4 linked regions of the Drosophila melanogaster genome follow. The protein of the gene in region 4 interacts with the protein of the main gene of each other region in a pairwise test. Each region holds a gene or a part of one and is shown on either strand. Other genes may lie near its edges. The genes, in order: to, CG10026, CG11349 and ATPsynCF6L.

Region 1 (7,928 bases), on a different chromosome or scaffold from region 4:
ATGGAGGAGCATTTGGCCTTAATGGTGGAAGGCAATGAAAACGAAGATCCGAGGAAAGCCACTTGTGAGTACGAGGATACGAACGAAGATGGTGCAACCTGCACATCGGGCGTTTTATCCGAAATCCAGGAGAACTTCGGTAGACTCCGGTTGTGTGACGTTACTGCACCACTCCTCGAATTCCACGGTTTGGATTGCTTGCAACAGATTCAAAAGCGCTCGCGCCATTTTGCATTCGACGGTTCTCCGGCCAAGAAGTCGCGATCCGGAGGCGTGTTGGTCACCGGGCCAAAGCAGAAGCAACTGCAGAAGGAAAATGTGTGGAACCGGAAGAGTAAAGGCTCTGCGTCCGCGGATAATATTGAGAAACTGCCCATAACTATTGAGAAACTGCATATGATTGGTCTGCACGGCGATTGGTGAGTCTTCTGGAGTATATCCCAAATATATCACATAATAAAAAGCTCCTTATCTAAACAATAGCTTAGAGCACAACGCCGTGCTGCGTTTGATGAATCTGTTCAGATCCCTGCATGATCACCTGACCGCCGATTTGGGCTTCTCGCGCCAAAACTCAATGCCCTCGGACTATCTGTTCGATATGCCGGTGAAGAGCACGATGCCTAAGAGCTTGAATGTGCGCTACCAACTGCAGGTGCTGTGCACCAAAGTAGAGCGCTTCCTTGTCCAGCAGCGCCGCACCTTGGAGGCGAATCGCCACTTCGATTTCGAGAAATACGACGAGTGTGACAAGTTGCTTAAGGGTTTCGCATCCTATTTGGACAACTTCAAACTGCTTTTAAAGCCCAAAATGCGCAATCGAAACGGAAACTCGGGGAGCAATGCGGACAAGTGTAAGCTGTAGATTTGCAAGCAACCATTCAGCTATTCCTGCAACGATTTTATTATTTACAGTCCATACTCAGCGCATGGAGAGATTGCTAATTGGTCTGCGCGATTGGATCAAGGCTGCGCATCTCAGTGTGCACGTATTTAACTGGGAAATGGATCTGGAGCACCGCTACTCCGGGGCCATGACCGAAAGCCACAAGTCGTTGAACGAGCGGGCCATCCTTTTGTCCGGTGCCGAGCTAAGGGCGGCCGAAGCGCGTGGAATCAGTGCGGAGGATCTGTTCATCGCCCAGAGATACAAACTGGGAGGTCCGATCTATTGCGTTCTGGAGCAGCATGAGTTCCTCTCCGCTCTGATCGCCAATCCAGAGACCTATTTCCCGCCCAGTGTTGTCGCCATTTGCGGGCCACAGAAGCTTGGCGCAGTGAGCATGGAGCAGCCGTCAGCGTCGGAGGAGGAGTTTGAGGAGACCGAGGAAGTGCCATCATCGCCACCTCGTCACACCGGACGTGTACCTCGCTTCAGAAGCTAAACTAATGCTGTGCACATCGATAAAAGAATGACAGCAAATATGCAATTTAAAAAAGCTACTCTTCTCATGGGAAGCAATAATTTCGTAAAGTAAACATATCTATAGTGTAAGATATATTTGTCCAATAGTGCGGACTCCATATTTGTATTCGTGAATAAGCTTATATAAGCTTTTTAAAAATATTTATCAAATCGATACAAACAAAATCAAAATGAAAACGATTTATTACCCCTGTTTTGAGATTGATAACAAATTTATATAAGTTTAACTGTGTTTACATTTATTTGGCAAAACTACAAATGTGTTTGCTTTTCACTTTTATAAATCTGTATTTTACTTAAACTTTAGAAATAAGAAATCCTTTAGTGCCTGAATTTATTTTGCAACTACGTTTTATTTGTATGAGGAACTTACCAGTTTTTCTTATTTGCTTTGCATTTGTATTTTGAAAGTCAAATAAATATTTACGATTTGTGTTTGGACTAATTAGGGTGTTTGTACTAAGGTCTTAGACTACAAAGAGCTGTTCGAGCGGCAGTTTGCCAAAGATCCTGTCCACCACCGACTTGGCTATCAGTCCGAAGGCCTCGCCAATGCCCGGTTTCAGTTCATTGAAGATGTCCTTCCAGTTCTCATTGATAAGCGCGTGCATGTTCTCGCTGAGATCTTTCTGGCCGTTGAACAGATTTTCCAGCTGGTAGGTCACATGGGATGGATCCAGCTCAACCTTTATGTTCATCACCTCGGCGTAGGTTTGATGATCGCCCTTGGAGACGCGCTTCAATTTGATCTGTGCACGTACCTTTGTTCTAGCTGCGAATTCCAGAAACACATTAAAAATTTTAGATTTCAAAGCTGTGGGAGGCAAATCTTACTGAGGCGTATGTCAGCAATGCCATTTCCGGTGATGGGCAGAATGAGTATTCTTCCGTCCACCGAGTAGGGTCCTCTGACTCCTATTTCTGGAACTTCCATGACCAGCTCGATGGAGCGGCTGAGATCCCTTGTGAATCCGCTAAAATCCGAAACAGAAAAATGTAGTAAGCAGAGCGATCATAAAATGAAATGAGGATCCACTCACCTCACTCGCTTCGCAACTCCCTGATGCAGACCCAAGATGTCCATCTCGTGGAAGCTGAGATCGATGTTGACCGGACTGTGCGGATTGCGTCCGATTTTGAACTTCTTGACGTGCAGCGGATCGAGGGGGATCAAGCCCAGCTCCTTGATACCGCTTTTGGCGTAGTTCCTGAGCACGAAGTTCACCCTGTCCTCCAGGCACTGCTCGTCCATTATGGCGCACCTCTCGATGCCCGAGGCTGTAAATTGGGGCGTGGCGATTGTGAAATATACATAAACATTATATATTACGGAAAGGGGGTGTGTGCAACTCACGGAAATCGGAGGCGTGTCCGTAGGTGGACGCACATCCGAACAGCAGGACGAGGGCGAGAGTTAGCTCCATAATTGCTGGCGGCGAACGTAATCGAGTACTGATCCATTAGCCGCGGGCGTTAACACTTATATAGTCACTTTCGTCAATTGAAATGTATCATGTTTTTGTTGCCGTAAACCGCTTTTGCGTTTCAGCCGCACAGAATTTGACTTTAGACCGTTTGGCAGTTGAGTCAGTTAAATGGATTATAAACCGAAACCGGCAGGCTGGCTGTATGGCAAAGTGGCTGGTTATAGCCGGCGAATTCATTTTACGATTCCCTTTAATGAACTCCCAAGTTCCCAACTCCCAAGCCAGACATCGACCCCGTCCCATTCAATCGCTCCTAATCGCGTTTTGGGTGCAATTTGCTCGATATATGCAAATTGGATCGGCCTTCCCCAAAACGCACATTAATTCCCGTTTCAACGTCTAATTAATGGCTAAGTCAACAAAGATTGTTTATCAAGCTTTTTTTTAATGTAACTGCCTTTTCCAGTTACAGATATTCCCTGCCTTTCGGAATCTCCGCGCGCGAATAACACATACTTTCAGGCGGTCCTTCATCTTTTGGATCAACCTGATCTATAGGGTTCCACTCACTGTAACTTAATTAATAATGGGTCATAGTTTTAAATGTTTTTATGGTATTTTACAGAATTCTTTGTATCACTTATAAATAATTTACAATGTGCTAACTACATATATGTAACTTTTATTGCCACACAACACTTACAGATTATTTAGCTGAGATGGCTTAATAGTAGTTACTTGTGTTCTCACTTTCAAACGCGAAACACGAACTCCATTAAACCTAATGATGATTGCTAGCCTCAAAACTTAGATCTGTCAGTACGCAAACAACATGATCTAGTATCTTTATGTGGACTCTGCCCACTTTGAAGAGCTAACTCACGATTCATCCGCAAAAAACTTGGCATACGGCAGTTTGGAGAACACACCTTTGACGACGCCCAGGTAAAGTTTGCCAAAGGATCGGTCGATTGCTTTGGCCGTCTCCTTGTAAATGGCCTCCGAGTTTTCGTTGAGGAAGACATTCATGTTGTCACCCAGCGCCTTGTCCCCATTGAACAGATTACTGAAATGGTAGTGGCTGGACTCCGGCTTCATCGTTATTTTCAGATCGGTAACGTCCAGGTAGGTCTCCCCATTCTTCACCAGCGGTTTGCCCGAGAAGCTGACGATTGCCCTGACGTTAACTGGACAGGATTTTTAGTTCCTCGAAATCTGAAAAATCAATTGGCATAGCTTACCCATTGTCATGTTACTCTGTCCAGTTCCGCTGATCGGTAGAATGAGTACCTTGCCCTGGATGTTATAGGGTCCAACGAGTGAGAAGGTTTTCGTGACAATTTTCACTTCGTGCTTGGCGGTGAGATCCCTTCCGAAACCCCTGCAAAGATCAAGGCAAGTTGAATCACATCCTTCTCATCCAAACAAAGTGTTGTTCCTGCACCCACTTTACTTTGACGATCCTTTGGTCCTTGATCCCATACAACAGATTGTCGGTGAAGGTTAGAGTTATGCCCACGGGACTGGAGCTCTCACCCTGGCTAATAACCATCCGATCCACCTTCAACGGATCCAGCTGCATCAGGTTCAGACCAGGATCCCCCTCCGCCGAGTTTTCGCTGAACAGGGTGTTGCACAGCTTCATGATACATTCGCCATCACCATACTTACAAGGTTTTGGATCTTCGGCTGTGAGGAACACAAAGGATTATTTTGGAACCGAAAAGTAGAGGTAGGTGTCTATCTAGGTTTCCCAGATTATTACTTCATTGGCAAGGTCTTGTTTTAAAGGACTTTCTCTTACGGAATTTGGCATCCACCGAGACCAAAAGGCACAAAACCACTGCGAATGCGATTGCGAACATGCTAACACGTCTATAACTTTAAGTTACTGAATACGAACGGGATTTTCGCCTAGTATTTATAGTGGTCCACTAAGTGCAACTCAAATAACGTCTAATGGCAACCTTTGATATAGCTCTTATCTGTGCCGTAACCGTCTGTCTGTCAATTCCAGAGCTCGTTTCAGAATCATCAACTAATAACGAATAGCAACTGAATCATCTGATGGTATTAGGTAAGAAAACGTTGTTCTAATTTCAATACAAGCCTTAGTTTATCACCTCATTTGGGTGCACTTTAGACAGCAAGTAGATCATGTAGCAAATCTTCTTATTCACCTTAATCTTCATCAATCAGTTACATCGAAAATCCGCTCAATGAATTTAAGTATCAGACAGATTATGTCCAATTAAAAGTCATGGTATTAAGTTCTCCCTTAACAAAGTTAACTGGCAAGTGTGCAACTCACAAAAGGGCCAGTTCCAAATATAGCCGAATTGAGATGCGAAAACAACGCAGTCATCGTGACCACCAGTTCTTTAGTTGGCTTTAGTTCTTGCGAATCGAAGTGAAGGGCAGTGGAGGAGTAGCGGTGGAGTAGTAGCTCGGAACAGGTCCTAGACTTTGGGTTAACTTAATGACCAAGTGTCCCGCTTTAAAGTCCAGCCCCCGTGGAGAACAAAAGCAACTTGTTTCGCTCGGAATCGCTGCAGTTGATTGCTCGCTCGTGGAAGATTTTCACTGACCCAAGGCCAACTGGGTGTCCGATTCCCTGGGATCGGGATGGCAGCTATACCGTTGGCTACTCTTGAACTTGGACAGTGAAATGAGTTCGCAATGAGTGACAGCACAGTTGTGTTCAGATTAATAGCACTGCCATTTAGTTAGTTCTTGATTCTAAGACAAGCAGATCTTAGTCATATATCATATCATCATATCATATACTAATTTTAGTGCACTTTGGGCTAAATTAGTTGCACAGGATGTAGGAGTAGTAGTAGGAGCATGCATCTTCGTCTTTTTTAAGACACAAAGTATTTGCTCATAATAATTAAGGTGTTTATTTCAATTTGTTGGATGTTTTAATACTTTAAGCGTATGTATAACTACGCTTTTATCCACAAGTATAGTCACCTTAGCAATAATGCCTTTGTCATGCAAATTTCGAATCAATCGTTCCATCACGTGAGCTGCCTGTTGATTGCTGATTGCTGGCCAAAAATGAAACAAAAAGTGTATGCGACACTTGTGCGGAAATAGTGAGATCCACGTTTTAGCTAACAATGGCCCCCCGCAGAAGCAGAACCAGTTTTTTTTCGAATGTTTTTGTTTATTCTACAAGTTAAAGCTTAGCTTAGCAGATACGATGATACGATGATGATGTGTCAATGGCCGGAATGCCGGAATGCAACGCCCCATGTGAGTGAGAATAGCTTGGATAGGTGAGGAAATACTCGTACACTTAGCCTAAAGTCCTAGGGCGCCTGATGGCGACTAGGACGACTAGTGCTCAGTTCTCGAGGAATAAATCCTCGTAGGCGAAGCGCTTGAAGAGCTGCGAGAGAACGCTCTTCATGATCTCGGCGATGGCCACATGAATGGAGGGATGCAGCTCGTTCCACACCTCCGTCCAGTTGTCGTTGAGGAACTGATTCAGATTGGTGCCCAATGCCTGGTCGCCATTAAAGAGGTTCTCCAGCCGAATGTTCATCCTGTGGGAACACAAATATGTTAGTATATCTCAGCTAAAATCCGAACTGCACCTACTTTTGTGGCTCCACCAGAACCTTGAGCTTATCCACGCTCAGGTAGGTGCGTCCATTGCGCTGCTGTGTGCCCGGCTTGAATTTCACCGAAAACTTGGGATTGTGCAACACGATCTCGGCATCGCCATCGCCACGAATCGGCAGGATCAGGATGCGTCCATCCGCCACGTACTTGCCCTTCAGCACGATCTTGGGAAAGGATCCGTACATCTCAAACTTGCTGGTTGCAGGATCAGCGCCAAAGCCACTGAAAAATACGATTATGATGGATAAGTGCAATCAACTTAATATATCTTCTTCTGTTAATAAACATGAGAACTTCTTCACTTTTGCTTAAGAAGGAAATCACTTTTCATTTCACTTGCTACTTACACGGCTCTGTCGAACTTCACACTGGACAGGCCCTCCACATTCACGTCCCTGAAGTTGAGCTTTAGATTCAGGGAGCCAGTGCGTCCGTCGGAGATGTCGAAGCGCTTGATCAGGAAGGGCTCCACCTGGGGGAATCCAGCGGACGGATAGCCGGTCCTCGCGTGCTGTCTGATCAGCATGTGCGACACGTTGATGATGCAGCTGGTGTCGCCCATGTGGCAGCGCGGCAGTTCGGGAGCTGCAAGGATAAGCTGGCGATTAGCGAAGCACTGGGATTGTTGGCCAAAGGACTCACGGAAATTCGAGGCACCGCTAACCAAGCAGCAGAAGAGGGCCACGCAGCCCAGCTGGAGCAGCATCATTCTGGATATGGATCTAGTTACGTACGAAATTCAAGCGCCCCGAAATTCAACCGCTCGACGATTTGGCGAATGCCCGACCAGGTTCAATGGCAAACTGTAAATCGGCTCTGGACAGACGGCGGCATTTATAAAATTTCTGATCGGCCAGAACGATGGAGCGGCAACAAATGTGGCCAACAACAACCAGTACACTTCATAGTTTATTCATTCCTGACTTGTCGCGTCTTGGCCCTTGTTTTTCTTGTTGTTGCTGCTGCTGCTGTTGTTGTTGTCTGTCTGATTGCTGGCTATTTTTATTTATATTTTTTTTTTATTTATTCGTATGTGTATATCTCTTTCGCTTCGTGTTATGGATTCTCCTCATCATCATAGACATCGCAGTCTTTATCTTTATCGCAGCTACCCCTAACCAGAATTGGCAGCAGCATTATTATTAATTAATATTATTAGCATGCAGCAACAAATAACAATAAACAATAACAATGGCAACGCGCACAAAAGGCAGCGAAACTCAAAATTTTAATGCTCAATCCAGTCAGTTTTCAAGCAATTAACCAATATATTTCCACTTATCCTGCAATGCATTATATATATATATAATTTAATTATACATATATAATTTGCACTATATTTCGGCATCTTGTGTACTTTTTATAGATTCAAACTCCGTGAAATGGAATCCGCGCTTTGTTCACACTTTTAATAAAGTGCAAATATCAATTCGTACTTATTG
Region 2 (8,280 bases), on a different chromosome or scaffold from region 4:
AAGAGATCTCCTTCTGCACCATGCGGTTTTGGGAGTTGTCATACACCCACATCAGCTCCTTGGTGAACTCCACGGATCCGATGTACGAGTCGGGTCGCAGCAGGATGTGCTCCAGCTGCGACTTCTTCTGGTACATCTGTTCGATGGACAGGGCCTTGTTTCCGTTCTCCATGATGCTTCTGTCGCTGTGCTTTAGCTGAATCTTCAAAGAGTAAGCAAAAGGCATTTGTTAATGTAATATTAATATTAATAACTAATATTCCGAGCCATTGCCTTAGCTACTATTAATCACTCGTCCTGCGTTCTACTAAGTAAAAAAAAAACCAAAGCTACTAGCAGAAGACTACAGTACCCACCCAGTTAACAGTTGCTATTAGTATATTAGTAATATTATGTTCACGTTTTTTTTTTAATTGTTATAATACCAAATAAGATAGATGGCACCCAATATGTTTAATGGCCTCTTAATAACGGGGATGGTTGTGCGTTGGCATGTGATGCCAATGCTGCTGATGCTGCTGTTCAACAATTTTTTATTAATGAATGCGCACTGTACCCACGGTGAAAAAAAAAAACAAAACGCGCGCCCGCGCATTGCGTAAATGCCGTCCAGACAAACGCTGCAATGGAATGGGACTTGGCCAACATGGGAAATGGTTGGGTACGTCAAACAGAAATAACTGCAGATAAATTGAAAAACGTCAAACTAAGTATTATTTTGCCTGGTGCTACTGTACTGGGAACAGATTTTCAGCACACTTTGAAATACATAACAGCCCTGTCTCTTTGGCGGCAACGCTTGGCGTGCGCCGTCTGTTGCGTGAGTGTGCGTGTTTATTGGCGTTTGCCGGTAGTCACCGCTATTTATTATTTCTTATTAAGGTTCTTCGAGGGGTTTCACTTTATAGTAAACAAATTCAGGCCTACATACGCGCTCCGCGCTACAAAATCAAAAAACTATGGTTTTTAAAGGCCCAAAATTAGCTAAATGTCTATACCGGTATCGCCATTTTTAATTTGCAAGCGACGCCACCGAAAAATTGCTATATCCATCATATTAAAGGATTAATTAGACAGGGCTCTTAGGTTCTACGGTACAGCCAATTCTACGATTATGATTCAGCACTTTCTGCTTACCTGGTTAAAAAATTGCCAAGTATTTGTGGCCTTTTCTTGCTGCCGCCGACAACCGAAGTGCGGCAAAACTCTATGTTGCAGGCGATACACGAGGCGGTGCACTACAATTTTCGACTTGTACGTGCCCCACGCGTCTGCTGCCTTTAGCTAAAACTTGTACAGTTCTCAACTAACTATTAAAATACGCACAGCACATTTAACAACTTTTCACAACCGACAACAAATGAGAAGTATTGCTGGTTTTAGAGCTGGCAAGGCGCACAAATCGATGTTTGAATGAAATCGCTATCGATAAGTCCCATAACAGTGTTGTTTGGGTTGGTGCATACGCTCATTGTGAACAGGGCTAAACTAGTAACTGCGGTCGGTGACTCCGCTAAAAGCGTGATCGCCAAAATCACGGTTTTTTAGTTCTATCTCAATCACGTGATGAGTTAAGCAACAGTTAATTCTAAAAAATTCGAAGGTAATAAATAATAATAACATTTTTGGGGTTAAATTCTTTTTCGAGTCGAAAGTAGGGGTTTTAATTATTCCAACTAACATTTCTTCTATTTTTTACATTATAAATCGGCATTGAAATAAATGTAAAAAAGATAAAATATTTCGATCTAAATGCAAATTATCAAAAATTTAAGACAAAGTAAAACCATTAAGAAATTTATCCTTTCATATGCTTAGTATTGTATCCCACATCAATGTGATATACAGCAATTACTTAAAATGAAATGAAATGAAAAATTGCTGCTAAAGTTGCATTTGTGCAATTAAATTTCGCACCGTTGAAGTGAAGATTGCTTTTCAATTAACCACCTGGTAATATGAATATTCCAAAGCCAAGACCATGGCTACAAGAGAACTGGTTTTCTTTCTGCCATTTTGCCTGACCTTGCCCAACACGACGTCATAAAGGGGCATGTCCCTCCCCATCCCGTTGCGATTTTCATTCCGGCTCAGAAACATGTTTTGAATAGTGCAAACAAAATATAAAGATTCTGGATTCATCCGAGTTACTCGGAATTTCTGCTTGGGTAATGGAGAACCCTTCACGCAGTGACGTCACCGGAGCTCATTGAACTTGCACAGCATCGAATATCGTCCAGAAATATTCTCTACTCCTCCAAATCTGTTGATTCTCGTTTGACAAGCATCAGCAAAGATCTCTCAATATGCGGAGTGCAGTTTGTACCCTGCCAAATTGGGAATTTCAGCTGATGCATGGGAAAATTGTGAACTAGCGGAGTTAAGTGCAGTTTATTCCAGGATACTATTAGCAAGTTGAACAAGATGTGAGCTAAAACTCCTAAGATTTGGTAAGATAAAAAGATAAACATAAGTACTACAATTAGCAATTAGTTTCTTTTTTTTTTTTTTGAATAAATTGTATGTATATGTATTGTTAATCAACAAATTTTACTTAATTGCGTTTTTAAGGGTGTTTGCATCGTCGTTTCATCGAGCTGGCTCTCCCTATTTTCAGATGCTGGTTTCTCGTTCTCGCATACTGGTTTATAGTCATAAGTGCTGCGCTTTTTCTCGACTTTTTCCATTGAGACTTGTGTTCATAAAATCTTCTGTTCTAAGCGATCCCCAGCTCAGTTTCATTCCAAGCTTCTGCGATGCCACTTGTGTGCGATCTTCGTTAAGTCGGATTCCCCGTACTGCAAGCTGGAAAAAATAGAAACCGTGACCAGAAACAGTAACCGCCACTCGGATTGGATTATTACCTGGTAATGAAAGTGAAGACCCCGAGCTAATGGGGCGATTTAAACAGGTGTTTAAAGGTGCAGGTGGGGCTGTGAAATAATCGCTTATTATCAAACACCCTAATGGGGGGCACTATTATTGTGATTATCTTGGGATTATCAAATCCATGTAGACAATTAACGACAACAATGGCGAGTTCATTAACACTTGAACCGAACTACGAGTATGTATGTGCTGGGACTTAAGCACTGCAATCAGGCGTACTTAAAAGTGCATAATGTGTAATTAGTTGGAATTTGTTGAATATGATTAAATATTGACCCAGGCACTTTGCACGGCCACCACGTGTGAAATTTGTGTGTGCTGCACTTTGAGATCGCGGTGGCATCATCTCACAGTATCTGCCAAATACGCGTCGAACTCACACAACGCTGCACCGCACAGACCCCAAGCGACCCGATTAGCCATTGGCGAACTGGGAACGCGGCGGATAATGCCTTATCAGGCAGTGGCTCCTCTACAATCGCGGGGTTCACTGGGGGCAAGTTTGGGTCTGGCTCTGCGTTTTGGGGTGTAGGGATAGGAATTGGGAAATCCGGCCAAGGCCAGGTCGAGGTACACCTAACAAGAGCACATATTTTGGGGCTGATGCTGAACACTATGCAATTCCAAGATTAAGCTAGCAATGTAACAATCGGTACTAACCCCCAATTAGTATATATTTATATTATATATATATATATTATTATATTATATTAATATATTTTAAATGATTTTAAAAATTTTAATGATTTCATTTTGCATACATTGTTTTGAAAGTGTACCTACCTAATGTATTGATTGCTGGAAACAACCAACCCAAAGGCAATGTTTCTAAAAACTAAGTGCAGCCAAAACTGAGTAATTGCACAACACTTTACTTATACTATATTGTTTATAATTCTTGTGGATTCCCGCTCCATCAATTAAGTACAGCAGATTCACTAAATTTAGCTCGAGCTCAGTGACACACTGTTATCACTCATCGGCTGTCTCCTTCGCGCTATCGCAATGTTCATTGTTGTTCGGTTTCTAGTTAATATTTAATGGTCGCATACACACTCGTACATGTTTAGCGACAAGTAAAACAGCATTTCGCCTGGGACTGTCACCACTTGGCCCGATTCTGGTTCCGATCGGGGGCTCAGTTTCACACTTGGAGTCGAGCGGATCACAGCCCATAAATGGTAACAACGAGAAATTCATCCAGCAGTGACATGCCAAATCTCTCTGAAATTTAAATGTCAATACGGGTGGCGAAATGTTGCTAACAACGAAACAATCGGGAACAGTCATATTGCGCTATTCTCAACTGGATTTATTTTTATTTACATTTTGCGCGAGTGAAAAGCGCTTATCAATGCACCACCCCCTTATGGCCACATTGTATCTATAGTTTGGGCTTTTTTTAGACGACCAGCAGTGGATGCCGCACCATGCCCACCATCGAGCACAAGCTAAACATCACCGAGGAGGAGGTTCCGGAGCACATCCGCCGACTTGCCCAGGAGCAGGGAGAGTGTCCCAGTTCCAAGGATAAGGTCATCGAACAATTCCGTAACTACATACTAGGTTGGTTATAGTCCGTTGTCTAAGAGGTACAAAGGTATTCATCTGAACAAAACCTCTCCAGAACATAATGAATGCCAACCACACAGAAGTGATGCGAAGTACCTGGAGAAATTCCTAAGAGCCCGCTACTGGAAAATCGAGAACAGTTACAAATTGGTAAGAAAACTTGGGGAAATCTTCATTTTAGTTTGCCAACAGCAAGTGACTATTTGATAATTATCTATTAGGTAAATGCAATAACTCATTCCCTTTCAGCTCTGCAGTTACTACAGGTTTCGGGAGCAGAACAAAAGCTTTTATGAGAAGGTTCGTCCTCTGGACCTGAGACATGTTGGGCAATCGGACATCCTGACAGTGACTCCCTATCGGGATCAACATGGCCATAGGATACTCATCTACCGATTCGGACTGTGGCGACCCAATCAAGTAACCGTCGACGATATATTTCGCGCCACCATTGTCCTGCAGGAACTGGGCAGCCTGGAACCCATCTCACAGATTGTCGGAGGAGTGGGAATATTCGATCTGAAGGACCTGGGCTTGGAACACATACTCCACCTGAGTCCCAGCGTGGCTCAGAAGATGATTGCTCTACTAGTGGTAGGATAACTACTTTTTATTATTTTCAATAGCTTTTTTAACCTACACTTGGCTTGCAGACCTCCATGCCCATTAGAACATCCGCCCTTCATATTGTAAATCAGAATTGGGTCTTCAACGCGGCATTCAAGATATTTAAACCTTTCCTCAACGCCGCTATGCGAGAAAAGCTATACATCCATGGCAGTGACATGACTTCCCTGCACAAACACATCAACCCAGAACATCTTCCCAAGCGGTAAGTAAAATGGTTTTTTTTTTTTATTAAAATAATTAGTCAGATATAATTAAACTTATACTATTTCAGCTATGGTGGCTTGCACGAGGACTACTCTTATACGCTCTGGTTGGATATGCTGAAGGAGCAGTGTTCGGGCAATAGTATCCAAAAGGATATGGAGCAATTGGGATTCATCTTTGACTAGGCTTCATGCCTTGTTTAAAATGATATGCTTGATACTTGTATTTTTGTACTACATATATGTTAAGTAATGATACCAGAATCAATTGAAGCAAAGTAGGTGATATTTTAAATATTAAAGAATTTCGAAAATTACTTCTACGCAATATTACTCACCAAACAATTCATTTGAGTTTCGTTCCCAACAATTTGAGGTTAGAAGCGGCATAAACCGTAATGCTTCATACATTTGGCGGTCACATCAATGACCCATCGGCTATCACGACCAAATTCGGGGCAAAAGGCAATAATAATTTGTTCCTAACCGAATCAAATGGCCCGGCTAGCCCGCAAAACATTCGTTTCGGTTAGGATGTATAGCATATTGGTCCTTTGAGTTTTATGCGATTCGTATGCAAAATGCGTTAGGTGCTAGAGCGAGACAACTGGCCACACGACCATTCGCCGTTATGGTAATTGAGTGTTGGACAACGCATAAAATGCAGTCGGTAGCCATAAATATGTTTGCACTCGTCCTGTCACCGGATGTGAGCGAGAGGGGAGATCGAGCTCGACGAACAGAAGGAGGGTGCTGGAGATTTCGATTCCTCCATCTGACCGTTGCGAATATGTTTGATATTTTTTATTGAATCCCGTTGTCTCAACGCTATCCTCCGACCCCCGGAAGTCATTGCCGTCTGCGTAAAAAACGGTAAAGAATTACTTTCTCGACTTAAAGTTACTCTGTATTGTCAATTAGGTTTCATGGTTAAGATTTAGAAATTTATATATGGTTACACCCAAAGCTTCAGAGTTTAGAGCATATACTATATATAAACTGAAATTAAGTATATATAATTAAATGTTTGCTTTCGGTTAAAAGTATATTGCTTCACAAATTTTTTTCGTCCAAGTGCAGGGTGTCCAAAGTCAGAATCCTGCCCCCTCTATTCTCCGCAATGGCCTTGCTTTTCCGTTTGGTCAACGATAGTGAAATTGATTTCGGTGCTACCGGGGGTCTAGGTTGGCATTATGCGTATTATGTGTATGTGGCTCGATTGTGGGGATGGGGGTGGCCATAATCTGTGTGCGTGCTGGACAGCTGTGTGAGTGCGTATAAAGGACAGCGACATTTGTGCGATTAAAGCGACAAGATTAAAAAATTTATTGCGCAAATATTTATGGGGGGACAGTAACACAGTGGCAGTCAGAACGGAAAAAACATTCGGACAAAAAACACACATCGCATAGCCTACATTTGGGGGGCACGACCGATGCGCGTTATTAGTTGGCTTTTTGGCATTTCGGCTTTTGGCTTCTGGCTTCTGGCAACACGTGTGTGAGGCGAAACCGAGCTGGACATAATTTATGGCTGGCAAACTGAATTTATTCGAGTTTTATTGAAAAACAAAGAAGGCGGTCAGAAGGGGCAAAGGATTCGTTTTCTTCAACATGTGCTGTCTTTTAAGTAGCCAATGTCTTGGGGATTTCGAGATACACATAAATATATCATTCCGAGGACGACAGAAATCTTTTTGACCAGTAACTAAAGGAAAGTCATTACAAATTGAGCAAACGAGTATCCAAAACCATTTAAAACCACTTAGATAGTTCGCTGGATTATTAACTTTAAAGGGAACCATAGTTGGTACTTGTTTGATTTCTAATTAGTGTCATTGTGTGTCTCTTCTATTAGTATGCTCTGAACTCAATTTACTCTTGAAATAACCTCCGATTTATTATTCCGTAGACATGCAGAAAGCCAAATTCCCCAAAGAACTTCCTCAATTCGAACTCATCTGCTTCCGCATCTCACTTCCGAAATTGGCCATATTATCCAGGAGACACATTTGAGGGCGTTCCCCGGCTGTCAACTGTCACCGAAGGCAGTGTCAAACTGACAGTCGTTGACATCCGTTGACAGTGTACCTGACCTCAATTTTTCCCTCTCTCCCAGAAGATATGTTTGCAACCCTAAACGGATAATTGCTTCCTAATGAGCTGGCAAGGGTGACCCCGACCGAATCAACCCCTCACTCACACCCCGTTTGGGTTTCCTTATCACCGAAGGCGGTTTATCACGCGGCGATTGGCAGGCAGATCCCAGGCCAAAAGCAAAACACAATAGGAACAAATAAATTATGTCCAGCGATTTGTAAACAAACATCAACTGTGCCGAACGGGGGTCAATTTCCCACTGCCCCGCGAAGTGAGGATTGTTCGGGCTTGGGGGATTTCCATAAATAAGGACCAGGCCAGACCAGTATAATTGAAATATTCGCTGTCAATTTGTTGACTCCGGAAGACGACGACTCCAGGCCCGAGGCGAAGGTGTAAGCTGCATAAATGGTGGATCGTTATGGTTCTGTTGCCACAGACACCGATTACCACAGGTCCTGCCGCAGGACGAAGTATGTTTGCTCGGCGAAGGACCTCCCAAGTGATAAATGGTTGCGAAATTTATTTACTTTGCACTACCGACTGCCAACTGTGTGTGTGCCAGAGAAAATTATGTGTGATTATGAGCTATTGAAACATCATAGGGACATTTTGTGTTTAGAATTTGCTTTTAAAAAATAAATAGGAATTTCTTAAAGCGAATAACTTTTTTACTTGATTAAATAGTTTTGTAGAATTTAATTTCTATGTTTTTTAAAAGGCCAACATTAGGTTAAGAAGTATGTATGTTTCCTAGAAATAAAGGTTGCTAGCTAGCCTTTTGGACGAGAATTTTTGCTTTTAAATGAGTGATTTTGAGTCTCATCCTAAAATTAAAACTGGTGCACATGCACTAACTTCCAGTCTATCTTGATCCTCCGTCACAA
Region 3 (8,477 bases), 540 kb from region 4:
TGGCTTACATTCGTGGTTCGTGTCCCGGCTTACTCTGTTACGGCAACAGAACACAGTTCTTTAACAGTGGCGATACAGACAATTGAGCAGAACACGAACTAGTAAAAAAAAACCCGTATTATAGCTCTTACTGTCTGAAATAAGTGGGTATACTAGGTTAGATGAACAGTACGTAACACTAGAAGTCTGCTCAATGAAATATGTACGCTCTTAATTAGGAGGACTAGGACCAGGGCAGAATCTGACTGTGCTAAGGAACGTCAAAATGTGTTAATAGTATTTTGTTTAGGTCAGCAATAACAATAATAATAAAAATTTAGTTCGTACCCATTACTCGGGCACTGAACCGGTATGGGAATACGTATGAATCATCTATCCAAAACAGTACTATGACCATACATCGAAACAAACTGAATCCCTAATCCAATTATCCCTTAGATGGAATCTTTATGCGTTTATTAGAAACTCAAATTAATAAAAATACGCATTTCAAATTGCGTCTTATTAATTAACTCATAGTATTGCAGAAAAGTGAAAGTATTTACCAAACCAGATTTATGGACTTGGCGAGCTACTTTTATTTAAATATTTTAACTCAAATTGATGCGAGCAATTGTTTTATGGCTGACATGGAACCTGCGTCTGGACTACTGCTTTTATTTATGGTTCGCAGTCGTAACCGCATTTCGCCAGACGACTGCAATCAGAATGACAATACCGATACATATGCAAAAGATATACCAGCTGAATGTTATTAGATATACTATATATTTGGGGTTCTGCCCAAATTGTCTTATAAATACCAAATGTTCTGCTCGCAAAAAAACAGTTTAATTGTTCGACTTTGTGTGATCAACATGGTGGGTTTCAATCGGATTGGATTTAATAATTGTGAGATTAATGGAAAATTTTTCTGCCCAGCGTGTCCTCTTCTTGCCTTTCGCAGTGGCTCTCTTGGGAGTGGTCGGTGCCACTTCTCTATCCAGGACCTATTTGCCGCCTCAGGTGCAGGTGGTGCAACCCCAGGTGATCTCTGTTCCCAGGGTTCAAGTTCAACCCCAGATCATCGAGCGTCAGGTGGTTCCCGCCCCTCTGGTGGTGCCACAAGTGGTTCCCGTTTATCGTCCGTCGCCAGTGGTGCAGATAGCTCGTCCTGCTCCCCAAGTGATCTCCGTGGCTGCGCCTCGTAACACCTATCTGCCACCCCAAGTGATTAGTCGCCCCGCTCCACAGGTGGTGTCCATTGCGCGTCCCGCTCCACAGGTGGTGTCCATTGCGCGTCCCGCTCCGCAGGTGGTGTCCATTGCTCGTCCTGCTCCACAGGTGGTGTCCATTGCTCGTCCTGCTCCACAGGTGGTGTCCATTGCTCGTCCCGCTCCAGAGGTGGTGTCCATTGCGCGTCCTGCTCCAGAGGTAGTGTCCATTGCGCGTCCCGCTCCGCAGGTGGTGTCCATTGCTCGTCCTGCTCCACAGGTGGTGTCCATTGCTCGTCCTGCTCCACAGGTGGTGTCCATTGTTCGTCCTGCTCCACAGGTGGTGTCCATTGCTCGTCCTGCTCCGCAAGTGATCTCGGTGGCTGCTCCGCGCAATACCTACCTGCCGCCACAAGTCATCGCTCCTCGTAACACCTACCTGCCGCCCCAGTAAGATGCCTCATCATCCGAAACAACATTTCTGAGCAACCACCAACTCAACTGGTTTGTGGTTTAACCCACAACACCAACTATATTCGAATGCTAATTCACCATCTTGGCAAAGAAATGCAAAAATACATTTAATAGGTTTATTTGTGTGTCTGACTTGATACGATTAGCATATTCTCGAATTAGCGCAAAAGAGACAATAAAGAAAGCTCAGAAAGATAAACAATAACATTGTTTAGACTCGAGACCATTGGAGGGCGTCAATACAGATCAGATAACGTGATTATGCAAAAAAGGGCACCATATGCCATTAACCCCAAGAGGAAATGTTTAAGATACCTAATACCTTGGGAGTCGCGATCTTGAGGCTTCTCTGAACAATTAATCAATCAGTCCATCAATCGAGTTAGCGGAACATTAAGTCATTAGCCTGAGCAATTTGTTTGCTTTAAGTGGATAAGGTATACGGCTGACTAGATAGTTTATGACCGGCTAATTGCTATACTTCTTGTTCTGGATCGATTTAAAAATAGCTCTCTGCTACTGTTTCTATTAACCCAATATCGGGTTTAGTCTTAGCAAAAGCTTGGGTGAATTAAAAAAGCTCTTCTTCAAGACGAAACCAAACTATCAGGTTTGCGATAAAATTGTTTTGGCAAAAAAATTAAGCTGTGATACGTGTATTCTTATGAATATTTATATTTAATATGACAGCAAAAAAATGAGAGTTTTAAATCCAAACTCCATGGCGTACCTAACTGATAAAAACAAGCCCCATATGGCGTCGTGGTCGAGGTATCTGTTTGCCCAATTAAACAAATTTTTCGACGCGAAGAAAAACGTTTCGTTGATTTATGATACTCAGCACTTCCGTTTGGATCCGCAGATTCTCCGACTTGTATAAAAGTACAGGAGTCGCCGGTCTAAGATATTATTCGGTTCGTTGCTCCTAAAGCAAACAGATCATCTAAAATGGTAAGGATCTCCCATCTGTATTGCGGATTATATTAGTTGGCATATTATTCTATTTCGATTTTTCCCTGTAGAAATTCTTTATCTTGACCTTGGCCGTGGTTGGCTGTGTGGCCGCCGAATCTGGCTACAACTACAATGCTCCCCGCCAGGTAGCCGCCTCTGCCCCGGCTCCTGTTTTCCAGCAAGCTGCCTCTGCTCCGGCTCCAGTGAGGACCTACGTGCCCCCAGCTCCAGCTGCCTCTGCCCCAGTGCAGTCGTTTGCCCCTGCCCCAGCTCCAGTAGCTGCTCCTGCTCCCGTTTTCCAGCAGGCCGCCTCTGCACCCGCACCAGCCCGCACATACGTGCCTCCCGCTCCCCATGTCCACCACCATGCCGCCGCCTCAGCTCCAGCTCCCGTTCAGTCCTTTGCTCCTGCTCCAGCTCCCGCCCCCGCCCCCGTGCAGTCCTTCGCCTCTGCTCCAGCTCCTGCTTTCGAGTCCTCCGGACCGGTGTTCGAGGCCGCAGCTTCCGCCCCCTCTGCCGCCCGCTCCGGATACGATTATAGCCAGCCCGCCGCCAGCCAGCAGGGATACAAGTACAAGACCGTCCGTCGCCGTGTGTTCAAGCACCGCGCTTAAACGATGATGATGATACGATAAAATGCGACAATAAAAAACTCGAATATTAAATTTATAAAAACATAGTTTTATTTGAGCATTAAAACACTAATAAAGATAATATGATAATTTGATAATTAAACAAGAATGATATGGTGTATAGTTTTAGCAAAAGAAGCGCGCAAAAAAAAAAACTATAAAACCTAAAACAACATTTCAAAAGTGCTAAAATTCTTGCTAGAAAAGAAAAAAAAAATCGCAAAATTAAATTTTATTAATAATTGTTAGTTAGTACTGGAGTGCAGTTTTTCTTATCCATAACTAACAATCAGTTGTTAATGATAAATTAGTTTGAAGCTTCAATTGTATTACTAGGCCAAATTCACACCTGGAAACGAAGTTCAAAGAACCCATGCGTTATCGCATAAGTGTGCAGCGCACTTGGGCCAATAAATTTAAACGCTTTGATCTGACAAATTTACGGGACACTTTCGTTGTGCTTCAGAATATTCAATAGAATTTAAATTGGCGGCTATTCAATAAGAACAAATGGGTCACATAAAGCGCGGAATCGATTTCTCACGCTCGGCAACAGGTTTCGCTTTCAACTGTGGTCTTTTTTGGGGGCTCGATGTGGGGATGCAACAAAAAAGATCCCGAAGAGAGTATATAAGTTGCATCTACAGCTGCTTACAGTCACTGGCACTTTAGCAATGGTAACGGATCAACGATAGGTTCTAGGTTCCGCATTTCACCAATCCATTTTTATTTTAGAATGTCCTCGTGATCCTGGTTCTATGCCTTATGGCAATCGCATGTCTGGCGGACGTTTCCCATGTGAAACACCACAAGCACCAGCGGCATCATCACTCCAGGGATCACGAAGATGACGATGAGGAGTCCCATTACCTACCTCCCCACGAGGAAAAGGAGGTGGAGCAACCTTTTTACAAGAAGGAGAAGCACACCAGTGAAAAGGTGGTTTACCACAAGGTAGAGGAGCACGAGGAGCCCAAATACTACAAGGAGCATCAACATGAAGAGCCCAAAAAGCAGCGAGTGGATCACTACCATCACTATGACAAGAAGCCAGAAGTAAAGACCCAGCACATTCACTACAAGCATAGCAAGCCCCATGTCCGTACGGATTACAATCAGGACTTGTTCACCCCAGCTGCTACCCAAGTGGTTTATCGCCGCCGTCGTCCTAGTCGAATTCTATACGCCAGTGCCCCCAACTCGGTGTTCCACACCCACACGCAGATCAACGTGCAGTCCCAGGATTCGGAATTGAATTCCCTTACTCGCCCAGATCGTGCAGCAGGAGCACAGGATCCTGCTGGGGCTCAAGCACCGACTGGAGCCCAGGCACCAGGATTTCGACCCAACTGCCAGTTTGTTGGACCTGGAAACGTACCACCTGGCTGTGGACCCTCTGATCCCATAGGTGCTCAGCTACCAGCCAGTGCTTTGGCTCCCACTGGTGCTAATCTTCCGGCCAATCAACCTGTTGCCGGCGGACAATTGGCTGTTCTGGGTAACGGTCAGCGACCTCCACGTCCAGGTGGCTATGGAGGTGGATATGGCAACCGACTCAACTTTTTTGTTGATCCTTCGCTGGGCGCTCAGCTGGGAGCCATAGGTAATGCTGGAGCTGGAAATCAACAGGCTGCCGGAGGAGGTCAGCTTGCGGGAGGAGCTCAACTTGGAGGGAGCCAAGGATTCGACCCTTCCTTTGGTGCCCAAGCAGCTGCCGGAGGACCATTTAACACTGGTTTTGGAGCTGGTCAAAGACCTCAAAGACCTGCGCAAAACCAATATGATCCCAACCTTCAGCTAGGTGGCCCTTTTGACCCCTCCGTGGGTGCTCAATTGGGCGCAGGTCAGGGTGTTTCTAACCAAAGACCAAGTGGACAGGGAGCATTTGATCCTTCTACAGGTGCTCAATTGGGCGCAGGTGAGGGTGTTTCTAACCAAAGACCAAGTGGACAGGGAGCATTTGATCCTTCTACGGGTGCTCAATTGGGTGCAGGTCAGGGCTTTAACCAGAGACCAAGTGCACAGGGAGCATTTGATCCTTCGACAGGTGCCCAACTTGGAGCTGGACAAGGCGTGCCTAACCAGCGACCCAATGCAGCTGGACCAGGAGCTTTTGATCCCAATCAGCGACAGTCCGACCCCTCCATTGGAGCCCAATTGGCAGCGGGACAAGTACCACGCCTCAACAACCGACGACAGCGCAATCGATCCAACTACCAGGGTCTCAATGTGCTGAATGGAAACGTTTTCGGACAACCCCATCTCCAGGGACCCACAAATGCGCTGGGAAATCAACAGGACACCAACATCATAGACGGCAACTTCTACAGCGATCCTCATCATGGACACCAGCGGGCTTTGGTATCGGTTAATCCTAATCAGCGTTCAGTCCTTATACCCGATGACGATGATGCGGACGATGATGGGCAGCTAGGATTTCTGGGCTTTGCGGCTAGTAACAAGCAGTCCTCTTATGTGGTTGCTCCCAAACAACTGCGATCTCATAGGCGCAGTTCAAAGCGAAACAATGTGGATCTTAAAACATCTGCTTCGGAGTACGACACTGACTATCGTGAGGATGGCTATCACTACCAGAAGCCCAAACAGTCATTCGAGTTTTAAGTATTTTAAAACAGAACATATTATAACATAAATTAAATCATACTTATCAGCATTTGCTACAAGAGCATACCAAACAAACCTTGATTACTTATTTAAAGCATACTTTCAGGCGAAAACTATGGCGGCTACTTCCGTTTCCGCTCAAGGTAGCTTTAAAGTTTGTTGAGAAATCGACACGGGTTTTCAAGCTGAGCTTTATAAATTGAGCTTTTGATTAAGCTTTACACCAGACTACAAATATCTATATTGCACATAAAAATATCCAGATATTTACCAACTATGTATATTTGATTTTTTTGTTTGCCTTTAAATTACATACATTAACATAAATATACACGTGCAAATAGATTAGGGCATTTATGTTCTGGCCATATCTGCGATTGCCTTTGATGGAAAAGGTGTATATATTGTCCATTAGGGTACGCGGAAAGGAAACTAGTTCAGAGCTATATAGAAATAGAGGCACAAAGACATTTTTTTTATAGTGAGAGAGGCAAAATGAATTGTCGACATAAATTTATGCAATCATTTAGATTCGATTCTCATGCAAATCCAATCAACTGAAATCAAAATAGAAATAAAACAAAATCTATTGTTTCACCAGGCAGCATATCTTGGCCAGTCGACTGCATAGAGGTGAGCTGCCCAAAACACATTCATTGGATCCGTTTTTGGCCCACCTCATTTGTGACCTATGGATAAAAGGCTGCGTGTATGTTATGTTTTTGTTATGATTATTTTTTACTCAGACTGAGGCGGGCCTTAGTAATGTTTAAATTCGGCAATCAATGTCAATATTAGCGAGTGGACTCCTAAATCAAATGTGGGCAGTCCACTGCCGGCATGTGCGTCTGTTTTTTGGCCAACTGTAGGTCAGAGAGGATTAGCCTTAGCCCATCTCGTCGGCTCGTGACCCAATGCACCGACCCATAGAAACCTATTAGCTGATCCCCATAAATCAGCGCACTTCTCCTGGTGAAATTGGCAAGCTTAAGAGAGTCAAATGACCGCAGCAGGGCCTTCAAAAAAATGTCTACAAGTAGCATTAAATTAAAATAATTTATGGCAAACTTTCGGATCAAACTCTACGGAGGAGCTCGGCTCGGCATAAAATTAACGGAGACCGTTAAAAGCCCGCTGATTACAGAAATAAATTTCGGATGATGTCTGTGCGAATTTCGCGGGCTTGTGGCTATGCAAAGCGAGTGAGTGGGTTCAAAGTGGGGCTGCTGGAGTTCAATGATCCGGTGCCACCCGCCTCTTTGGCAATTATTGCTATCAAACATTATGAACCATAATTTTTAGGCTTTCCCGAAGCACTGCGCAAAATCAGAACTGAGAATTTTCAGAACAGTATTAATTTTTCAATTTAAATTGTTCTACTAAATAAGAATCGAACAATTTTAATCACTAAGGCAGTGAAATATAATTCAATTAATCAATTAATTTAATTATAATCAAAAGTCATTTATGTATGAAATATATCGAATGTACTCTGATTTCTTTAGGTGTATTTATTATTTAATGACTTTCCAGATGGCCAACATAGAGCTACAACTCTGTACTGAAAGGGTTCTGAGTTTCGGGATCATAACTAATCCGATCTCATGTAACTCCGCCTTGCGTCATCCGTTAAACATAGCCTAAAAAAATCGACGAGCATTCGATGCTCGGATGATTAATTTTCAGCACTTGGCAGCCACATAATTAATTTTAGACAGCCCACAACCGAGAATACATATTCAAGAACGATCGCACTTTATTTTCTATCAGCCATCAAACAGAAAGCCCCTCGATGAGCCGCAGGCAGCCCCAAAATAAGAATCGAATTAGAATCAGAATCAGAATTACATGAAAGGAACTTGCCAAATTTCGGCTGCCACGCGTTTCCATTATTTATTGGCCACGAGCCGAGTGTTAAAAGTGTGCGGAATTTTATTTTTCATCTTTTTTGTTGCCCTGTTGCTTGGCGTTGATTTTTGTATATTTATAATTTAGCTCTTTTCGGATTTGTTTTGTTTTTTTTTTTTTAGAGCTCTGGAGATGCGCTTCATGACGGTGGTGGCACTTTCTAGTCGCCGGCTCCGAAGAGTGGGGCGATTTGAAAACGGGTTTCCAGAATGATTTATCATATATTTTAGTTAAACGAAAAAAGAGCATAACAGGCTAAAAGAACGTTAAGTTTATCGTAAAAGACTAAAACGTGTACTTGGCTAGTGAGTGTTAGAGTCTTTTGAAACAGACTTTCTTTTACGCTGTAAAAAAAGCAACAGACTATATTTTATTTGATAAATTTTGATGGAGAGCAGAAACATGTAAAGAAATTGTTCTAAAATTTAATTAAGATAAATACAAATAAAAGAAACATAAACTGTTAATAAATACCTTTACTTCCCAGCCAACTAACCTTGTAATATGTAATATAATTTTGATAATAATACGATGCCCTTACCATATGCAAGCTTTCAGATAAGATTCCATTTTATATAAACTACAATGCGGGATAGGGAATCCTCCCCAATTAGAGTATCTTGAAAACTAAATTAACTAGCGCGTGTGACTATGCCGGACAAAATACAAAGACTAAGACAAAGGAAAGGCG
Region 4 (7,005 bases):
TGGTTCGCTCTAATGAGCTCTGCGTGCAGCTTAAGGGCAACTGTAGCACGGCTGCTTCTATTTGCGGCACTTTGGCAATATGTGGCTAAAATTACTTGCAACTGCCGGCGGCAGGGTGCAGATACATCACCACCAGATGCATTTTAATTGGAATACCGAAACAGCGAGTAATAGCGCACATCGAAAAAAAGAAAGAATAGTAGGGCAAACAAAAAGGCGGCGACTGCCCAATTAGAAGCCTATTAGTGGTAACCACCACCCCAACACCACCCTCTTCCAATCGGAACTGCTCCATTGTTGCTGGCAATTTTACCAGGACGAAACAGAGCGCCCAAAGCGAGACAACAAATTATGCCAAATGGCTAATGAATAAATATCCGCAACCAGCACTCTACTCCCGTCCGCCGGATAGTTGGCATCCTTTGAGATGCACTAAAGAAAATGGAAGAGTGCCTGTAAGCCTTAATGATAAAATAAAGAAATCATTTTGGAAAAATATTCGAAATTCATTGAATATATAGTAACTTAAATAACTTGCAGGAATATATAAAACGCGAATTTAACATATAATACAAAATCATTTGTAATATCATTTAAAATTATTGTATTTTTTTGAAAACATTTGTGGTTTAAAACAATACAGTTGCACTCATGTTTCTTGATTGCAAAAAAGAATCTTTCTACAGACATTTCCATATTTGCAGCTTTTTTTTTTAATATACACAGCTCTATGATATAGGTTACAATGAGGTAAACGATATTAAAATTTAATTTTTTCCCCCTTTCTTTATCCTCTAGTTAAAAAACGTATTTATCATTTTTATTTGCCGCCGCGTTGAAGTTGCACTTATGAGAGAGCTCGGCGAAAAGCGCACACACGGGCAAAAAGCGGCAAATGCAGTTTTGTATATCGCTCGGTGCCTGTGTAATTGTATCTGTGTGTACTTTGTGGCATGCCACATAAACTTGATGCTGCTGCTGTGTGATATTTTAGCATTGAGCAGCTCTCAATCCCCCAGCATCGCATCCCGCAACCCCCTTCGCTCTCGGTGATATTTAAATCCTTGTTCCTACGCAGGGATAGCTGTTACGCCGGCAAGGACTCGACTCAGTTGGCTTTTGTATGCGCATTAATGCAACGACTCTCATGTTTATTCACACACAAATTTGCAGCGAATACAACGCACAGAGACTGCGGTGATAGCGGGATGCATTCACAATCCCACACAGAACCCCGGGACTCGGATACACTCGCACTTGGCTGAAGCAATCTGCTGGCAAATGCGCTTTACATTTTGCACACGCTAATACAATTTAATGGTCGCATTAATTTGGCGCATCTGTTGCATTTTAAAACACGCACACACAGCCACATCATGTACGAACACCCACACAGTTACGTGGATAGACTGGCACACAGATGCACAGATACACAGATACACAGATACACAGATGCACAGATACATATACACGTTCAAGGAGCGGCAGGCAACCGCAGGATACTTTGCTCACTTTGTTGTCGGCGGGGGAGGTTAAAGCATTTGCCAACTGCAAATAAAGTTGCGCTCAGCTAAATATTAATTCTAACCAAGTTAGGGGAAACTACTTTAATGGCGGGGGCGTGGCAGCCGCACAACTGCTTAATCCTTAGCTCTGTGTAGTAGTCGGAATGAAGATTGAGATACATGCGCTCGGCACCAGACAAAAAAGACCTGATATATGCCACCAGCAGGCAATAACCGTTTCACGTCTTCTTGTTTTCGCCAATGAACGCTTAAACTATTGGTGCACCGAACAAAAATACTAATAGAAATAGGATCGCAAGTATGTTGATAAAACAAGTTTCAATATTTTAAACACAGATAAAAAACCTCTTAATATTTATAGTTCAACTCAGTTTTTTTGACAAAAACTTATATTAGTATTTGTATTAGAAACTTGATCGATTCAAAACACGTAGGACGACAGCCAACCCTCTTCATTGGAATGTCAGATGCGTGGGAAGTTTGTTATTGCTGCCAATTAGGTTGCCATTCTGTTTGTGCCAATGTTTGCATATTATTTCTGCCCAATTTGCATTGATGCAATATTGTCCATGTCCCGCGCAGCGCTCCCCCCTCCCCCCCCCACACCTCGTTCCACTACATGGCGGCGTCAAATGCAGAAAATGTCAAAATTTAAATATTGAAAGTGACGTTGGCGTACAAAAACCCCTCGTGTTGCGGGCGTTGCACTAAGCGGATAAGCGCTTGTTAAATTTTTAATGCGTTGCATAATTTTTAGTTCGGTGTGGATATTTTGCACACAATATGTACGTACTATATGTTCGTATATTTTAATTCGAGTGGCGGATGCGAAACGCAGCATGAGTGCTGGCTGCATTTGAAATGAGCCGCATGTGGCGATGGCCGATTAAGCCCGGTTTAGAAGCTACACATTCCTCATTTCGCACTCGACAATGATCCATTTATTTGCACTGTCAGCGATGGTGCGGGAGGGGAAAAAAGGTGAATGGAAATTTATATTAATTATAATTTTCACAGCCATGTCTTCCCATCAATTATCAGAGTTTGTCCGACGGCTCAGTTCTCTTTTCAGCTCTTTTCTGCTCTGTGCATTTAAATTTTTCCCCTGCAAAGTCCTTGATAAACATTTTTCAATTAATTTTTATTTGCTGCCGCCGACATTTCTTTGTCCACACACGCGCATATATTTATGTATCTTGCTGCGTGCACATAAGCAACAGCAACAGCAAGTTGACGGCAGCAACATCATCGCCTTTATGTGTTTCACGTATTTCTTTAACGGATTTCCACTTGTCTCACTTTTTGAGAAAAACTTGTCGAGATGGCACTCGCATTGTCAAGCCCACTCACACACAGACATTCGCAGATACGACGAGTCAGACAGAGAGAAAATCTTACACGCTCGGGAATAAAGGAGAACGGGCAGCAACGGTGCGTAAAAATTCGTCCTGGAGCAGGGAAGCACTTCAGATGCGTTAGCCCAAAATGCGGGGTTTGATAAACGCAAAAAATACTCAAAATAAAAGATATAAAACGTTTAAAAATATAAATTCAAATCTTAAAAAAAGATGGCTTACCTGTTCTGAAGACAATGATTTTATTTTAATTTTGAAATCAAATTACCCTTGAGTAAGATATCTCAGAATCATATTTTATCGCATAGAAACAGTATCGTGTCAGCAGAGAACAAAACTAACAAAAAAATGTTTAGCCGTTTCCTAAAACCAAGCCTAGTTTTATGTAGGAGTGTGAGCAATACCGCATCCCTTCGCTACAAGGATCCCATTTATCAGATTTTCCTGGACAAGGTGCGCGAGTATCGGCTGAAGAGTCCCAAGGGAAAGCCCGTAGATCCTGGTCCGGAATTCGAGGCGGAGCTGAAGGAAGTCACTGAGCGCCTGGCTCTGCAATACGGCGGCGGCGAGGGCGTGGATATGCTCGAGTTTCCGAAATTCAAGTTGCCCGATATTGATATTGATCCCATTTCGGTTGATGATCTGTAAGTTACAGTTAAATTGGAAAAAGTTTTTATAAAAATATAAATATTTACTTAGACCAGAGAACCAACCAAAGCCTGAGAAAAAGAATAGAGATAAAGAAGTAAAGGCCAAAGAAAAGGGTGGGGAAAAAGAAGTGAAAGCCAAAGATGGCAAGAAAGCTGACGAACCAAAGGGCAAGGATGAAAAGGACAAGATAAAGTAGATCATCACTAAAAATAATCGTTTTAAATGTTGTTAAAATTTTCGCACAATTCTTAATACTTTAAAAATTATAAAATGTTTATGTTAAAAGAAAATGAATTTAAATGCCTGCAGATTCGAGCTACCCGTTTGTAGCTGTTCCAGGATAGAGCCGAAAAAAGAACGCACCGAAATTTTTATTAAGCACATACATGCATAAGCAGCACTCACACACACCATGCTTTTACCATGTTAAGTAATTCCTTAAACAACACAACAGGTCGCCGCCATTCGCATGGCCTTGTCCCTCCCCTTGGTCCTTCGTCCTTTGGCGCTCCCGCACGCCCCATCCCACCCACTTCCATTTTTTCCGTGTAACTGACGCTGAGTGGCAGACACACAGATACTCACACAAGCAAATTGAATTTAATGCTTTCTGCTGTTGCTCTTGATAAAACGATGGCAAGCGAGAGGAGGCAGCGTGTAAAGGACGAGCGTGGGAGCGAGAAAAACAAATCAAGAGACGTCGCGAAGGAAATACAAGCCAAACGCACAAATAAATACGCACAAGTACATAAATTTAAATTATTTTCGTGGCCTGGCCTCGCTTTCATTTATGCTTTTTTATTTTATTATGCCGCTCCGCTACAGTCGGCCTCAAGGATCCAAAGATCCAAGGATCCGGCATTTGACTACGGTCCAGACGTCCTGGCACACTTTCTGAATGCCATACGAGTGTCTGGCAGTGCGGTTGTATCTATACCCGTTGTATCTGTGTCTATATCTCTGGTACCGTTGCTGTTAATCTGTATCTGTAGCTCTGTGTCCTGTAACTGTGGCAGCGCATCTTCAGCTGTCTCTTAGCGAACTATGCGCCCGCATCGAGCAAACAACTACACCAACACACCGAAGACGTCCTTGGTCCTTGTGTAAGGCATGTTAACTGGGATTTGACAGCTCGTAAATAATATTTCGCTTGTTTGTTGGCTCGGTACAACGAGAGCAACGTCTTGCACAAGGTTGAAACAAAGACAGTGGTCTGAGTTCCCAACTTTATCTTTTTGCCTAAAACAAGGTAATATTCTTGTATTAAACCTGAGGTTTTATACATTTAAATGGCTTCTAAGTAGTTCAATTAAAATAAAATTAAAATATTTAATAATCTCTAATCACAAAGGAGCAGCGTTTAATAATATCATATTTCCAATCTTTGGTAAATCTAAATTATTACAAGAAAAACTGTTTTATTTAATTATATGCATATATTTTTTATCATAACTTTTTTCTTCTCATATCCGCTCATTCCTTGACATTTTCAACCACTGTGACCTATTCGATGGCAGCCATGTGAAAACGAGAAACGCATTTCATTTTTAAGCTGCTCCTTCTTGGCTCTGCTTGTTAAACAGTCTTTTTACATGACATGTGTGGGCGGTGGTTGGTTGGTTGGTTCATCCGGAGAGTCAGATTCTGATTCGAATGAGATGCGGTGGCTGGATGCTGGCTGGTTGCTGGCTGTCCTGGCATGTCCCGATTTTTCGGGACCAGGCCGCCACTCTCATTATGCGCACTCTCCTCGTTGCCGGCTTATTAAATTTTCATAAAGCACAGGCGCTCGTAAAAATTGTGCTCGGCCGCTTTTAAGCGCAAGTGGATTAAGATTAAAGCTTCAAGGAATATGACTTCAAAGGCGGACGAGCCGTAATTAAAGCCATGAAAACTGTCCGCAATTCGATTGCCGAAAACTGAATTAAACTGCGAACTCGACCGCCCAAGAAATAAGAGAAGTTGGGAAGTTAAGGAGAAACCAGGAGAACTGGAAACCACAGAAGGACTTGGGACTTCACCCACCGGATCCGCTCAACTGGAAGAAGATGATGGCGATGACGAGGCGGTGAGAGATATCTAAGGTCGCTTTCCCGCTTTTCTGAACCACACACAGACACATGTCTGTGGCTCAAAAATATATGTGGATATATATATATATATATCTGGCCGCTGGCTGTGAGAAAAGTGAAGCATCTTGTGCAATGTAAACGAAACGTAGCCGATAAAAATAATACGAGAGGCAATTTCGATTTATTGACAGGTGCTCGACTTTATTGAAACGTTTAACTTGAAAACCGATGCGAAAGGAGGCTCGCTCCATACATATAGATTTATGTATGTAGTAAGTGAGCACATGCAAAATTGTGCAAAACGATAAAAATTATGTGAATTTCGTTGTGATTTATCGCTGTGAGCCGGGGCGGCGCTTGGGTTTTATGTGCCCAGATTTATGGCTTCTTCGCCTCGCCCAGGATGTGCATTCGAATTTTGGACAAATTTAATTACACTTTTACCTTGTGTGTCTTGTGCGGATCAGCCACGCACTATTTGTCATTTTGTCCGAGACCCATAAATTCCGATGTGCATTTAATTTTGCCGAGCCGCACGTACGCATCAATGCCTGGGCATTATTTAATAATGAAAATTGAATAGTCCTAATTCAACCTGATGACAAAGTGGGTCCAGGTGGATATCTATGTGTGTATATGGTTTGGTATGTGAGTGTGTGCAGGACACGTGCCACTTGAACACATACGCACTAACACAGGATATACGGGATACACAGGACGCCCCTCCAATTGTGGTTTTCCTTTTGTCGCTTCCGTTTCCGCATAATTTTTGCAAGCGGAAAACTTGAGAGCGCTGCGCTAACAAAACATTTGTTAAAACGGAAGACGGCAAACGCAGACAAAGGCGATGGTTTACCGGCAAGATAGAGCACTAAGACCCCCTTTAAGCTTACGTAATTCGGTATCCCGAACTCAAGTCCAAAATACAGGAACTGCGAAATGCGGGCACGTACATACAAGCAGGTGAGCAGGAGAGCTGGTTAGCCGGAGAGCACCAAAAATGCCCAAGTTCCACTTCATTTTCCCGGAGGCGAGCGCTTCACAAAGGTTGCATGTGATTTGTGTCAGCGGCGGAGTCGCGCTCCAGGATACGTTCCAGACTATATATTATGCCGCCGGGCGACAGTTACAACAATAAACCATTTCGGATTCCTCCTTGTCTTGTCGCTCGTCCTGTGCCCCCTGTTATCCTTCTGTTGGTCCTGCCACATTCACATCCCCATCCACGCACCTGGCCAAAAGGGCTGAGCCTGAGCCGTGGTTCGTAATGAACGATGCCTGGCATTTTCTTGTTATTTTTTCATGCCGCAGCCGGCGGGCGGATGACGGGTGACATTATCCTTGTAGTTAATGTGGGCGCCTTTTGCAGGCTGCGCACGCACTGCCTCCCACCTGCGGGCA

The links.
Region 1: the proteins of ATPsynCF6L (region 4) and to interact in a two-hybrid assay, tested with the Drosophila melanogaster proteins (one large-scale study listed by BioGRID).
Region 2: the proteins of ATPsynCF6L (region 4) and CG10026 interact in a two-hybrid assay, tested with the Drosophila melanogaster proteins (one large-scale study listed by BioGRID).
Region 3: the proteins of ATPsynCF6L (region 4) and CG11349 interact in a two-hybrid assay, tested with the Drosophila melanogaster proteins (one large-scale study listed by BioGRID).

The regions. Positions count from the first base shown.
Region 1 is NT_033777.3:25,236,980-25,244,907, reverse strand, and holds to (takeout), read right to left. Parts: upstream 4,729-7,928; 5' UTR 4,719-4,728; coding exon 4,658-4,718; intron 4,543-4,657; coding exon 4,302-4,542; intron 4,235-4,301; coding exon 4,095-4,234; intron 4,041-4,094; coding exon 3,733-4,040; 3' UTR 3,240-3,732; downstream 1-3,239. Other genes in the region: bam (bag of marbles), read left to right, coding at 1-419, 484-854, 916-1,385; CG11854 (uncharacterized protein), read right to left, coding at 1,894-2,198, 2,261-2,400, 2,467-2,704, 2,781-2,850; Jhbp7 (juvenile hormone binding protein 7), read right to left, coding at 6,206-6,407, 6,463-6,708, 6,834-7,071, 7,129-7,195.
Region 2 is NT_033779.5:19,452,114-19,460,393, forward strand, and holds CG10026 (uncharacterized protein), read left to right. Parts: upstream 1-3,564; 5' UTR 3,565-4,067; coding exon 4,068-4,070; intron 4,071-4,295; coding exon 4,296-4,455; intron 4,456-4,516; coding exon 4,517-4,611; intron 4,612-4,710; coding exon 4,711-5,055; intron 5,056-5,114; coding exon 5,115-5,293; intron 5,294-5,362; coding exon 5,363-5,480; 3' UTR 5,481-5,610; downstream 5,611-8,280. Other genes in the region: Top2 (topoisomerase 2), read right to left, coding at 1-172.
Region 3 is NT_037436.4:4,469,150-4,477,626, forward strand, and holds CG11349 (uncharacterized protein), read left to right. Parts: upstream 1-3,918; 5' UTR 3,919-3,927; coding exon 3,928-3,930; intron 3,931-3,988; coding exon 3,989-5,875; 3' UTR 5,876-5,946; downstream 5,947-8,477. Other genes in the region: CG32249 (uncharacterized protein), read left to right, coding at 858-860, 922-1,647; CG32248 (uncharacterized protein), read left to right, coding at 2,616-2,618, 2,690-3,235.
Region 4 is NT_037436.4:5,008,320-5,015,324, reverse strand, and holds ATPsynCF6L (ATP synthase, coupling factor 6-like), read left to right. Parts: upstream 1-3,191; 5' UTR 3,192-3,229; coding exon 3,230-3,525; intron 3,526-3,580; coding exon 3,581-3,728; 3' UTR 3,729-3,881; downstream 3,882-7,005.